2 linked regions of the Canis lupus familiaris genome follow. The protein of the gene in region 1 purifies or fractionates together with the protein of each later gene. This does not show direct contact. Links are inferred from orthologs where the notes say so. Each region holds a gene or a part of one and is shown on either strand. Other genes may lie near its edges.

The links.
Region 2: the proteins of CHRAC1 (region 1) and SMARCA5 fractionate together in Homo sapiens (co-fractionation; 5 studies listed by BioGRID and IntAct, with this or other methods). This does not show direct contact. The link is inferred for Canis lupus familiaris from reciprocal best matches to the Homo sapiens genes CHRAC1 and SMARCA5.

The regions. Positions count from the first base shown.
Region 1 is NC_049234.1:35,773,294-35,780,261, forward strand, and holds CHRAC1 (chromatin accessibility complex protein 1), read left to right. Parts: upstream 1-2,607; 5' UTR 2,608-2,690; coding exon 2,691-2,837; intron 2,838-3,141; exon of another isoform or gene 3,142-3,214; intron 3,215-4,175; coding exon 4,176-4,302; intron 4,303-4,446; coding exon of another isoform or gene 4,447-4,511; exon of another isoform or gene 4,512-5,003; intron 5,004-5,009; coding exon 5,010-5,128; 3' UTR 5,129-5,680; downstream 5,681-6,968. UniProt on the Homo sapiens protein: Forms a complex with DNA polymerase epsilon subunit POLE3 and binds naked DNA, which is then incorporated into chromatin, aided by the nucleosome remodeling activity of ISWI/SNF2H and ACF1.
Region 2 is NC_049236.1:43,052,659-43,058,922, forward strand, and holds part of SMARCA5 (SWI/SNF-related matrix-associated actin-dependent regulator of chromatin subfamily A member 5), read left to right. Parts: intron 1-1,794; coding exon 1,795-1,943; intron 1,944-2,139; coding exon 2,140-2,259; intron 2,260-3,087; coding exon 3,088-3,198; intron 3,199-3,524; coding exon 3,525-3,638; intron 3,639-4,039; coding exon 4,040-4,162; intron 4,163-4,918; coding exon 4,919-5,051; intron 5,052-5,872; coding exon 5,873-5,991; intron 5,992-6,264. UniProt on the Homo sapiens protein: ATPase that possesses intrinsic ATP-dependent nucleosome-remodeling activity.

The DNA of each region.
Region 1 (6,968 bases):
CACGCCCAACGTGAGGCTTGAGCTCACAACCCCAAGATGAAGGGTCACATGGTCTATGCCTAGGCTGGCCAGGCACCTTTTTCCATGAACTTTGAAATCCAAGTTGATTTGATCAGGGGGTGAAAAGAACTTGCCACATGAACACTGAAACCTTACGGGGTAATTTACTTTTGGAGGGTGCTTTACAGTTCACAAAGAGCTTTCTCATTCCCATCCCCTTTGCTGCTTACCACTGACTAGGAGGGAGGTAGTGGCGGGCAGAGGGTCACTGACAGGGCGGGGACTTCGATCTTTATATGCTAGGCGCTTTCACACCTCCTAACCCCAACATCGGAGTACTCCCATCTCTGTAAATGAGGAAACGGGTTCAGCACTTGCTCTGCCTGGGGTCACACTGCTGAGTGGCAGGACAGTCCTCCCACTCTACGTCTCAGCTCCATCCAGTGGAGCAGCTTCTCCTTTCAGAAGAGCCTTTTTTTTTTTTTTTTTTTTTTTAAGATTTATTTATTTATTCATGAGAGACACAGAGAGAGGCAGACACACAGGCAGAGGGAGAAGCAGGCTCCATGCAGGGAGCCCGATTCAGGACTTGATCCCAGGACCCTCGGGTCATGCCCTGAGCCGAAGACAGATGGGCTTCCCTGCTGAGCCACCGAGGTGTCCGTCAGAAGAGCTTTTGACCGGCTTCATGGACACCCAAACTCTTGGTTTTCCTTTTATTCAATGGTCAGTTCCTCCCGGCCTTCCTCCTTTGCTGGATTTTCCTTCTCTCTGCCACTTTGAAATGCTGCGGTGGGACTGTTTCACTCCATCTACACTCTTCTCCTGAATGCATTCATTCAAGGTCACCGTTTTAACTACCTAGACAATGTGTGCAGGCTGAGAGAATTAGGGCCATTCAAGTTTAACATTGGCCCAAGTACAGCCATTGTAGCTTCGGTAGCCATCTCCGGCCACTGTGACCAGGCCACTGTGACCAGGTCCTGAATCCACCTTACCCCAGCTACAGTAAAAAACACAAAGCACGGCCTTATTCGGAATAAGGAAGCAAGAGCTTGTGAGACCTCTTTACTGGAGATTCTCACACATACCCCCCCTTACTGAAAAACCCCACCTTACCCCTAGAGCAGTCCATAAAAACCCAGCTGTAACACATCTTGGGGTCCAAGTCCCTGCTCCGCTGTGTTGGGTATACTTGGACCCAAGCTTGAGCTTGCTAATAAACCCTCGTGTGTTTGCATCGGTGTTGGCTCCTTGGTGGTTTCTCAGATTTGCAATCTTGGGCGCAACAAATGTTGGTTCCTAAATTCCGGTTCAAAAAATTAAAAACAAAACAAAACAAAAAATTCGGACTCCAGCTCAAATTCCAGGGTCTCATGTCCAATTTTCCGCTCAGCACCACCACTAGTGTTTGGCAATTAAAGCTTAACGTCCTCCAAACCAGACCTCTCCCCAAAGCTGCTCCTGGGGCAGTGCTCCCCATCTTGGCACGTGGCACCGCCATCCCGCCCCTCATTCCCATCCCACCGGCAGGTCGTGGTGGCTCTAACCTCGGAGGTCTCTAACCCGAGTCCTGCCCGAACCTTGGAGGTTTCTAGCGTGAATCCTCCCCACACCTCGGAGGTCTCTAACCCGAGTCCTTGCCTGAACCCCGAGGTCTCTAACCCGAGTCCTGCCTGAACCCCAGAGGTCTCTAACCCGAGACCTCCCTGAACCCCGGAGGTCTGTAACACGAATCCTCCCCACGCCCCGGAGGTCTCTAACCCGAGACCTCCCCGAACCCCGGAGGTGTCTAACCCGAGTCCTGCCCGAACCCCGGAGGTCTCTAACCCGAGTCCTTCCCAGCGCCTCACTGGGGCCTGGCAACAGCCTCCTCGCCGCGCTGCTTCCCTTCTTGCCCCCCCCCCCCCCCCGCGCCTCCTTCCTCTCCCCAGGGCTTCTGGGCTCACTGGGAAGAACTCCGAGATCCACAAAGCCCTGGCTGCCTCCGACTCCGTTCTCCCAGCTCACCGCCCCTTAGCCACGCCGGCATCTCCTCCCCGCCCCCCGCCCAAGTACGGCGTGATTCACGCAGGACTTGAACTCCCCGCCCCGAGCTCAAGACCTGAGCTGAGGATGCTCGGCCGCCCCGGGCACACCGCAGCTTGTCCGCGGCCTCCGCCTTCTACTCTGCCCCCCGCTCGCACCCTCCCCGCTCCGCCCCGCGCCGCTCACGGCAGCCAGAGGGATCCCGGAACTCGCCCGACAGATCCCTTCGGCCGCTTCCCACTTAGAACAAGAGCCAGCAGAGCCGAGGCTCCCTCGCAGTCCTGCTGCAGCACACCGGGCTCCCGGAGCGGCTCCAGCCCTGGGCCTGCGCCGGCGTGGACCCCGCCGCGAGGCAGCGCCTTCTCGGGGCCCCCCGCCCGGTATCTCCGCGGACCCCGCTGCGCGATCGCCGCCGAGCCCCCGGGTCCCGCACCGCGCAGGCAGGCCGGCCCCCGGCGGGAAGCCCCGCCCCCGCCCCCCGGCGCGCGGCATCTCGGGATTTGTAGTCCGGCCCCGGAAGGGCAGGCGCCCGCCCCCGCGGCCGCGCCTCCCCGACACTACAACTCCCACGGGGCAGCGGGACGCCGCTCCCGCACCCTCCAGGCCGGCAGGCCGCCTGCCTCGCGGCGGGTTCGGCGGCCGCCGCGGGGCGGGGCGCGAAGATGGCGGACGCGGTCGCTGGCAGAGACAAGTGCGGGGAGCCGCGGCTCGTGTCACTGCCCCTGTCCCGCATCCGGGTCATCATGAAGAGCTCGCCCGAGGTGTCCAGCATCAACCAGGAGGCGCTGGTGCTCACGGCCAAGGCCACGGTGAGGCGGGCCGCGCGGGAGGACGGAGGGGCGGGGGGCCGCCCGGAACCGTCGCGCCCCCCTCCCGACCCCCCCCACCCCGGCCGCGGGGCGCGCGCCCTCCGCCCCGCCCGCCGTCCCCCTCCTCCTCCTCCTCCTCGGCGCGCCTTCCGCCCACCCACTCGGCTTGCCTCGCTGCCCCGCGCAGCTCCCGCCCTCCCCCGCGCGCCCTCCGCCCCGCCCACCGCGCGCCGCTCCCGCCCTCCCCCGCGCGCCCTCCGCCCCGCCCCCCGCTCCCGTCCGCCCTCGCGCGCCTATCGCCTACCCGCTCCTCCGTCTGCGGCGCCGCGCCCGGCCCGCGCAGCTCCCGTCCTCCCTTGCGCGCCCTCCGGCCCGCCCGCCGCGCCGTTCCCGCCGTCCCCCGCGCGGGCCCCCGCGCCTTCCCGTCCCCCGCGTGCGGCCTGTGCCTTGGGTTTCGGGTTCCGGCGGCTCGGGGGAGGGGGCGGGGCCTCCCGCGCCTCATCAGCGCCCGTGGTACCTGCGCGCGCCCAGGTGCACCTGCCTGCATCTTAGCGCCCCGGGCCCTGTGTCGGCTGCGGTTCTGCCCGCGCGCGGTGTCCCTGGGCTCGGGCCTCCGCCGCTGGGGGCCGGGGGGCTCCGTGCTCCCGGGGTCCCGGGGATCTTCCTTCTGTTTCCCGTTAAAGGGTAGAGTTGAGTGAGCCCTAGAGGCCCAGAGCCCCCGGGCGCCTGCGTCACCCGGACATCACCCGCGCCTTCACGCCTCCTTGGGTTGAGAGCCCCGGAGGGAGAGCGTCCCCAGCAGCCTTGGCCTCGGGGTGCTCGGTGTCCCCGCCCGGCACGTCCCGCCTGCGAGGGTGAGGGCGCGGGGCGCGGGGCGCGGGCGGGCGCTAGGACCCCTCCCTCCCGGGCCCGGAGGGCGTTAGAGTGAGGAGCGGTGACCTCGAGGCTCCAGGCTCCGCTCAGGCGGTTGCTTTAGGGAAGGTGTTTGGGCAAATGGGGAAACGTTGTAGGGAACCGGCTGAGACGCGGTGCTCGAGGAGAAGGCCGACTGCGCTGGGTCAAGGAGGCAAGTTGGGAGTGGACCGAGCTGCAGTCCTTGCACACTTCCAACCCACGGCTGAATGCCTGGTCAGCGTTTTGCCTGCATTAGGAATCTAAAATGGCTTTAGGGCAATGCCTGCTTCCCCACCGGCTTTGACCCCCGCGGGCTTCCTGTAACTGGAGAACCCAAGATAATCTGCAGTCTGGTCACCTAAGCCTTAATGTAATTTAAAAAATTAAGTTCTGCGGTAGGTTTTTAGAGCATACCTTTCATTTTACTTTTTCGTTTTGTTTTAGGAACTCTTTGTTCAGTATCTAGCCACCTATTCCTACAGACATGGCAGCGGAAAAGAAAGGAAAGCTCTCACCTACAGTGATTTATCAAACACTGCAGAGGAATCGGAAACTTTTCAGTTTCTTGCAGGTACTCAGTCTTTGAGACATTCTGGTTAAAACATACATAGTAATTTACACCTTTTTTTTCTTTCCTTCTATTTTTTCTCCTGTTTTCACTGAAATAGACAATTTTTTTTTTTTTTTTTTTTTTTTTTTTTGCTGCTTTCTCCAGGTGCCAAAGTTTACCATGACCTGGCACAGGAAGACATTTGTAGTTTTGTCAGAGTATGTTTGTAATGTGGTTCACCTAGAATGGTAACGAAGTCAGCAACCTGCACAGGGATGTTTGGCTGGGTGGCTGGGTGGCTGGGGGAGCCTGGCTGACCCACCCCTCAGACTCCTTATCACTGAAGGGAAAACTCTGGGCTGGTCTACGTGGCCCTAAGAGCAGAGAAAGTAATAGTTGTGGACAGGCTGTGGGGGCCACAGCTGTAAAGAGCTTCCATCTGCCTCCGAGGCCAGTCGGCATGTCTCAGGTAGGTGGGCAGACTTGCTCATCACCAGCACATACAGGAGCACATAATTTGCAGTCCGTGGAGTGGAAACAGGTCTTTGGCAGGAGTCAGGAGGCAATACTTGTTTCCTGCTATTTCACCCAGAAGCATGGTCGGAATTTTGTCTTGTTTTGGAAACTGTTCTAGAGTTCAAAGCAGAAACTAGCACATTTTGAAATTTGCATTGCTGTGTTCGTGGTCTGCCAAAACCAATTGCTGATGTTAGCTTTATATTTTTAAGATATATTACCAAAGAAGATTTTAGCTAGTAAATATCTGAAAATGCTTAAAGAGAAGAGGGACGAGGACGAGGAGAATGACAGCGATGATGGGAGTGACGGGGACGAAGCAGAATCCTAGACCAAACAGGAAGTGCTTTAGAAATCACCCTGCTGAGGACCCTCCTGGATTAGCAGCATTGCTTGGAAGTAAGCACAGCGCTGTGTGACTTTAGACTCCTCACTTCTCAGAGACTTCAAGTACATTGGATTTCTTCCTGGCTAAGATAGAGCACCTGTTGTGCCCACATCACAAATGGCCAGAAGAAAAGTGACCCAGACAGCAGCCTCTCTGAGGGGCCCGCACTGCAGTTCGGGGGCACAGAGGCACCAAGAAAGCTGCCTGTATGGTCAGGCACTGCCAGTTGATCTGCTGCAGCTGAAAGCTGTGGAGGCAGACAATTTTGCTTCACTTTTTAATTTACAGATGATAGATTTTGAAGAGCTTCTAAATACCAGTTGTATAAATTCATAGATGTATATCTGGAAATTAGTTCTTGTAAACAACTAGATGTAGTTTGAGCTAAATACATAGTATATGGGTAGTATGTTACATTTGAAAATTTAATGATTTGTTCAAATACTACAATTTTATTAACTGTAAAGAAATAAAATTTCTTTATTAGAAGCTGTACATAGTTTTAGTCAATGCTTTGTGGAACTAGTTTTGGAGCTCTCTATTCTAATGTCTTGCATATTATCTGAGAAGTCTGCAAAATTTAAAAATAAGCGTTTCTAATACTTTCATTCTCGGAAGAAAAAAAACTCAATTAAATCAAATACGAAAAGAAATATAATCTCTGTATAAACATATTTCTCTTAAAAACATTTTATTTTTTTATTTTTATTTTTTCTTAAAAAACATTTTAAAACATGTTGTATATTGAAAATCTCTCAGGGCGCCTGGGTGGCTCAGTCAGTTGAGCATCTGCCTTTGGCTCAGGTTATGATTTCAGGGTCCTGGGATCAAGTCCCACATTGGGCTCCCTGCTCAGCAGGGATCTGCTTTTCCCTCTGCCTCTGCTCCTTCTCAAGTAAATAAATAAAACTTAAAAGAAAATGTCTTATTTTACTGTTCCTTTCTTTATACTCAAATTGTTTTTATTCTTCACAGAGAAAACTACAAGCCCTATTTTTTTTTCCCCCACATAGGGTAAATTTTTGGCTGTTTTTTTAGTCTCTCTCTCTTTTTTTAAAAAGTTGAATTAGGGCAGCCTGGGTGGCTCAGCGGTTTAGTGTCGCCTTTGGCCCAGGGTGTGATCCTGGAGACCGGAGATCAAGTCCCACTTTGGGCTCCCTGCGTGGAGCCTGCTTCTTCCTCGGCCTGTGTCACTGCTTCTCTCTCTGTATGTCTCTCTCATGAATAATTAAATAAAATCTTAAAAAAGTTGAATTAATTTTACATCCAATAAATCATCCTTTAATAGCCAATCTTTTATGTAAATATCAATATATGGGACAGTTCCCCATCACCCCAAATTTTCCCCTGTACCCCTGCAGTCCCTTCCTTTATCTGCAGGTAACCACTGATACTTTGTTCCTCTCGTTTTAAAATTTTTAATTTTTTAAGAAAATCTTCACTTCAATATACAGTTTTGAGCTTTGACAAAACCAGTTCCACAACCACAAGATTCAACAGTTGTATCACCCCCCAAATTCCCTCTTGGTCAAAGTCATTTCAAACCCTTTACCTTGGCAACCACTGAGCTATTCTTTACCCATGTGAAAGTTCACAAACTTTTTCTGGAAAGGGTCATAGAGAAAACATTTTAAGATTTGGGGGGATAATAACCTGTCACAGCTGTTGACCTGTGCCATCATAATAGAAAAGCTGCCGTAGACGATACAGAAAGGAATGAGTATGGCTGTATTTTGGTGAGGTTTCATTTCTGGATACTGATGTTTGAATTGTGTAATTTTTA
Region 2 (6,264 bases), on another chromosome or scaffold:
ACCATAGTGTTAATCACACCTCTGAATATGTGAAGACAATAAATGATGGCTTATTATTAGTTTTATTAATAATTATTTATTAAGTGCTTACTTTGTGCCATGCAAGGTGCTAAATACTTTGTATCCATTATCTCATTTAGTCTTCATGCAATTTTGAGGTTGGCATAAGAAGTAGAGGCAAGTCACTTATATACCATTCATGTAACTAAGAAGTGACTTATCTAGGACCAAGAAGTATATTAACTATTAGAGTGAAGTGTTTACATGCGAAAGTCTTTGGAACTTGCCAAACAGTAAGGTTTCTCCTGGATAATGTAATGGCGAGTTCTTCTCCCTCTCATATTCATCCATGTTTTTAGAAAAACACCGGCCTTATAGTATTTTTAATTATTTTTATCTGTGAAACATTTTTGAAAAATGAAAATTATAATCAACTTAGAAAAACTAAGTTTTTTTACTTAGGTTTTTGGTTTTATTGGGGGTACAAATTTTGTATATGTGCTGCTGAAGTGAGCATGGGGGTGGGGCTTAAATTTTAGAGCAAAATTTTGTGCTAATAGCTCTGTAGGCATTAGTCAAAGAGCAAGCCTCAGGTGTATCTCTTTGTATTACTGTCTTGCAGAGTAAGAGATGTAATTAAAAATAATGAGAAATCATAGAACTGCTTTCTGTCTGACCAGCTCCCCCTCTGTCCAATGGGGAAGTAGTTTCAGTAAGACAGACCATTTTGTTAGTAGTGAGGTAGCTTTCAAATCAAGAAACATGTTCTGTAGATACATCCTAACTTTGAAATTCATAGATGTTGGTGGATTCTGTTAGGGATGCAAAGCTGTGATACACAAGCATTTAAGATCCAAGAGAACAATTTGATCTTTATCCATACTCCTTTATTACAAGTTGATTGGAATACAAAAAGTGAAGCTTTGTGTAAGTGAAAATATTTCTTGATATTTTTGTTTTTGATGCTTGTGTTTTCGAAAACACAAATTATAGGGTTGACCTATAATTCCTACCAATTGAAGATCTTAGTTTTCTTATGTTTAAATTTCTTCTGTGATCAAAATAAGCTTTGAAGAGTTTCAGTTCTTTAGATTAGGAAATTTAATTTATTTAGTCCCTAGATAAAGTTTGGCAATATGAAGGTTTTTTTTTTTTTTTTTTTTTTTTTTTTTTACACGTTACCTTTTTTCCCCCACTTCACTTTTCGAAGAAAAAGCTGATTGGGGAGTACTAGTATTAATGTCTTTCTGCTTATCAGAACTTCTTGTGATTATGATTTGATCTCTTGATATTTAAAAAAAAAACTTGCTAATTGTGATTTTCAAATATTCCAGCATGATACTATTCAGCCCATATAAGAATACTTTTTATTGGGCAGCCCCGGTGGTGCAGCGGTTTGGCGCCGCCTGCAGCCTGGGGTGTGATCCTGGAGACCCGGGATCGAGTCCCACGTCGGGCTTCCTGCATGGAGCCTGCTTCTCCCTCTGCCTGTGTCTCTGCCTCTCTCTCGTTCTCTCTGAATGAATGAATAAATAAAATCTTTTTTTTTAAAAAAAGAATACTTTTTATTGAGATATGGTATGCAGTAGGTTTCATTATGTAATGATGGATTAACAGGATATTTCAAAGTTTACAACTAAGAGTGGCATATTTTTATGTGAGAATCAGAATTATCGGCAGTGAATAAACATGATTAATATTTGAGGCAAAATACATGGTATTACATCTAACATTTAAAATTCCAAGTTTCAAAACAACCTTGATTAACATTATACAACATTTTTTTTTTTCCAGGAAGACTTGTGGATCAGAATCTGAACAAAATTGGGAAAGATGAAATGCTTCAAATGATTAGACATGGGGCAACACATGTATTTGCTTCAAAAGAAAGTGAGATTACTGATGAGGATATTGATGGTATCTTGGAAAGAGGTGCAAAGAAGGTGAGGTGTAGATTAAATGATTATGTTTTTAATATAAAATCTTTTAAATCAGAACTGTTTGAGGAAATACGTATGTGAGCCATAAAAAGGAGTTTTTGTGTACTGCAGAGCCTAACTTATTTTGACTACAGTTCTCAAGGTTTTTTTTTGTTTTGTTTTTAATTCTCAATATAATAAAGTGGTTTTTTACCCCTAGACTGCAGAGATGAATGAAAAGCTCTCCAAAATGGGTGAAAGCTCACTTAGAAACTTTACAATGGATACAGAGTCGAGTGTTTATAACTTTGAAGGAGAGGATTATAGAGAAAAACAAAAGGTAACTTGAGAAAGCTATTTTGGTTACTTGAAGGCCTTACTTTACTTAAAACTTGCGATTTTAAGTGTTAGCTGTAACACCTTGTAAATTTGTCTCCAAGCAGTCATTTTTATATATTCACATCTAAATTATTTTCATTTTTACATGTAATATCAAATTTTCAGTTAGTAATCTCTGAAATGTTTTAAAAGCTTATGTAATGAGGCTTACTATATACACTGTTAGAGTTGAAATATATTGTAGGGGTGATTATAATTTAGAATCTTTGAAAACAAATAATTGGCAGAATTAACATAACCTTACTAGATTTTTTTTAAAAGACATAATTGGCTGGTAGTGATTAAAGGGGAAAAACTTCGTAATTTCTTAAGTAATATTTGTTAATATATAGTGAAATTAGAAAATACAAGTTGGAAGAAAAATAGTTCTACTCAATGTTTTTTCTGTTAACATTTAAGCTTTGTATATCCTCTGGATTTGTTCTAGGCTAAATACATATCTATATTTTTCTCCTAGTTTGAGTTATAGCATTTTCTGTAGGTCTGGTCCTTCCTCCTCCTCACCAGATAAAATGTTCTCCATTTGGTCAAGAAATACTTAAGTATATCTTTGCTATTCACCATGTACTGTGCAGTGTATTAATTACATAGTTTTGAGCAAAGTATAGTCCCTTATCCTTGAAGAGCCAATGGTCCAGGATTTTATGAATATCTTGCCACTTACAAATAACAGTTGTAATGATGTATACACAGTATGAATTGCATTCATCTAAGATTTGTGACTGTAAACAGTCAAAGTTGGTGATTTGCATTGTTTCCTGTATGCTAGATTGCATTCACAGAGTGGATTGAACCACCTAAACGAGAAAGAAAAGCCAACTATGCTGTCGATGCCTATTTTAGGGAAGCTCTTCGTGTCAGCGAACCTAAAGCACCCAAGGTGAGTTGATGGAGCAATAAAATATCCAAAAATACTAGAATTGTAAATATTTTTCTTATATTCTTAATATTAAAGTTAGATTGAGAATTAAAATCTTCTGTGGCTTCTTACAGTGTATTTCCATCAGTTTTCATTAAAAAGTTTTCTTAAAAATTAGTTGTAAGTATATGCATTTAAAGTTTGATTAATGTTCACTATTAATGATAAATTCAGTTGCTTGGAGAATTAGCCATCATAAGTTTTGAGAGAGGAAGTTACAATTAAAATCAAAGCAAAACTTTTTTTTTTATGGGTAATACTGTGTTTTGTTTTTTTTTTTTCTCTAGGCTCCTCGGCCTCCAAAACAACCTAATGTTCAGGATTTCCAGTTCTTTCCTCCACGTTTATTTGAATTATTGGAAAAAGAAATTCTGTATTACAGAAAAACAATTGGGTACAAGGTAATGGAAATAACATTTTGTTCATAACTAACCTGGTTTTGTTCTTAATTTAGTAAATGGAGGGTATATCAAGTTTTTTTTTTTTTTTTTCACGGTTGGATTAAAACTTGTAAAACGTTATTTGGTTGGTTAAGAATTTAGGGCAGCCCCGGTGGCGCAGCGGTTTGGCTCCGCCTGCAGCCCAGGGTGTGATCCTGGAGACCCGGGATCGAGTCCCACATCGGGCTCCTTGCATGGAGCCTGCTTCTCCCTCTGCCTGTGTCTCTGCCTCTCTCTCTCTCTCTCTCTGTGTCTCTCATGAATAAATAAATAAAATTAAAATCTTAAAAAAAAAAAAAAAAGAATTCATCACATACTTTCTAAAATCTACTGATGGATGATATAAACAAATATTTTTTTAGGTGCCTCGAAATCCTGACCTACCAAATGCAGCACAGGCACAAAAAGAAGAACAGCTTAAAATTGATGAAGCTGAACCCCTTAATGATGAAGAGTTAGAGGAAAAAGAGAAACTTCTAACACAGGTATATATAGTCTTTATTCAACATAAAATTTAGTGTAACCATTACTTTGTAAGGGTACTATGCTTAGGTATGTTGGGGTACACAGAGAAGTACATGTTTTGTCTTTCAAAAAGTAAGTAATTGAAGATGATAAAGCATGAGCCATATGGGTGTATGCTACAGTTTGATTGTCACTAGTTGTTGAAGTAGAGAAAGAGTATAGATTTGCGCAAGCCTTACAGTGGATATGTTTTTTATTACGTTTCTTCCAGTATTCATTTTCTTTTCCTGTGAATCTTCCACATTGGTACTAAGTTACTGTTCTCAATTACAAGTCTCTTTTTGGTACTTTTTTGTTTAACAACCTTTAGGGTTTAATCAGGATCTTTTAGAATCTGGCCTTAACGTACTTTTGAAGCTTTATTTTTCTTCCACTTTCCTAATTGTTATTTCTTTGCTCTTTAGTGTATGTTTATTGCTCTTTGCAAACTCCTGCTTATCCTTCAAAATACCGCAAAATCACTTTCTCACAAAATCTCTTTTTCACAAAGCATTCCTCTCTTCCACTCAGATTTAATTGCTTGGTTATGTAAACAATATGTGATATATTGCTAAAAATACAGATCTATGTGTATGAAAAATTACCACTTTAAAATAACTTAAAATCTAGGAGTAATTGAAAATTTTCTAATACTTCAGACATACTCGTAAGTGAAATAGCATTTTACCCATGTTCACTCTGCTGTTATTATATGTTTTGTTTCCATTGCTTTGAAGGGATTTACCAATTGGAATAAGAGAGATTTTAACCAGTTTATCAAAGCTAATGAGAAGTGGGGTCGTGATGATATTGAAAATATAGCAAGAGAAGTAGAAGGGAAAACTCCAGAAGAAGTTATTGAATACTCAGGTAATTTTTAAATCATTTTAATAGATTAAAAAATATTCTCAGGTTTTTGGAGTGCTATTTGGGGAGTTCAGGTTTTATTATTCTGAGTTATGTTTTGATAAGCTAAATTTTGCCACAAGTTTTAGGGCTGTATTTTTTTTGTGTTTTTAAAAAACTGAGTTGGAAAGAAAATGTCCTCTTTTTTAAAATGGCATAGTTTTTTTTTTTTTTTTTTTTTTTCACCCCAGCTAACTGGCTATTGCCAAGAAAATAAGAATAGGTCATTGAATAATTATGCTTTCATTTTATTTTTCTCCACAACTTCTTAAGCACTATGTGCCATTGTTTCCTGAAATCACTTGAATTGTCAAGTGAAGAGGTGTAGTGTGCTGCAGTGAGTGTGCTTAGAATTCAAGAATAATAGAAATTTAAGAGTTGAGAGATACTTTTTTTTTTTTTAAAGACTTATTTATTTATTTATTTATGATAGAGAGAGAGAGAGAGAGGCAGAGACACAGGAGGAATGAGAAGCAGGCTCCATGCCAGGAGCCCGACGCGGGACCCGATCCCGGGACTCCAGGATCGCGCCCTGGGCCAAAGGCAGGCGCCAAACCGCTGAGCCACCCCAGGGATCCCCCGAGTTGGGAGATACTTAAATCATCCAGTTGATCTCATTTTTTTATAGTTGAGAAATTAAATAATCGTCTTATTTTGTAGTATTAGATGTGAGAAAAATGAAAACATTTCTTAATCCTTAGCAAATTAGAGTATTTATGATAAATTATTTATGTTTCTCCTCCTCCTTCCACCTGTCTCATCTGTCCAACTTTTATTCTTACCAGCTGTATTCTGGGAAAGATGCAATGAACTCCAGGACATAGAGAAGATTATGGCTCAGATCGAAAGGGGAGAGGCAAGAATTCAAAGAAGAATTAGTATTAAAAAAGCACTTGACACGAAGGTACAGTCTGTATTAATAAATATAGAACTTCTGAGAATATGTGAGTTAAAGGAACTTTTTAAAAGGAAATGAAATGATTTAAAACAAAGATTTTGTTCAAAGAACAATATTCAAGTGTTATAGTTATTCTCAACAGAATTTACCTTAGTATACTTCAGTTGAAATATCTGGGTCAGAGTCTCTATGATTAGCTCTTTCCTACAAAGTCTGAGCCTGTATCTCTCTCTAGAATAATAAAGATTATAAAGTTGTTTCACAGCAAAGGTTATATAA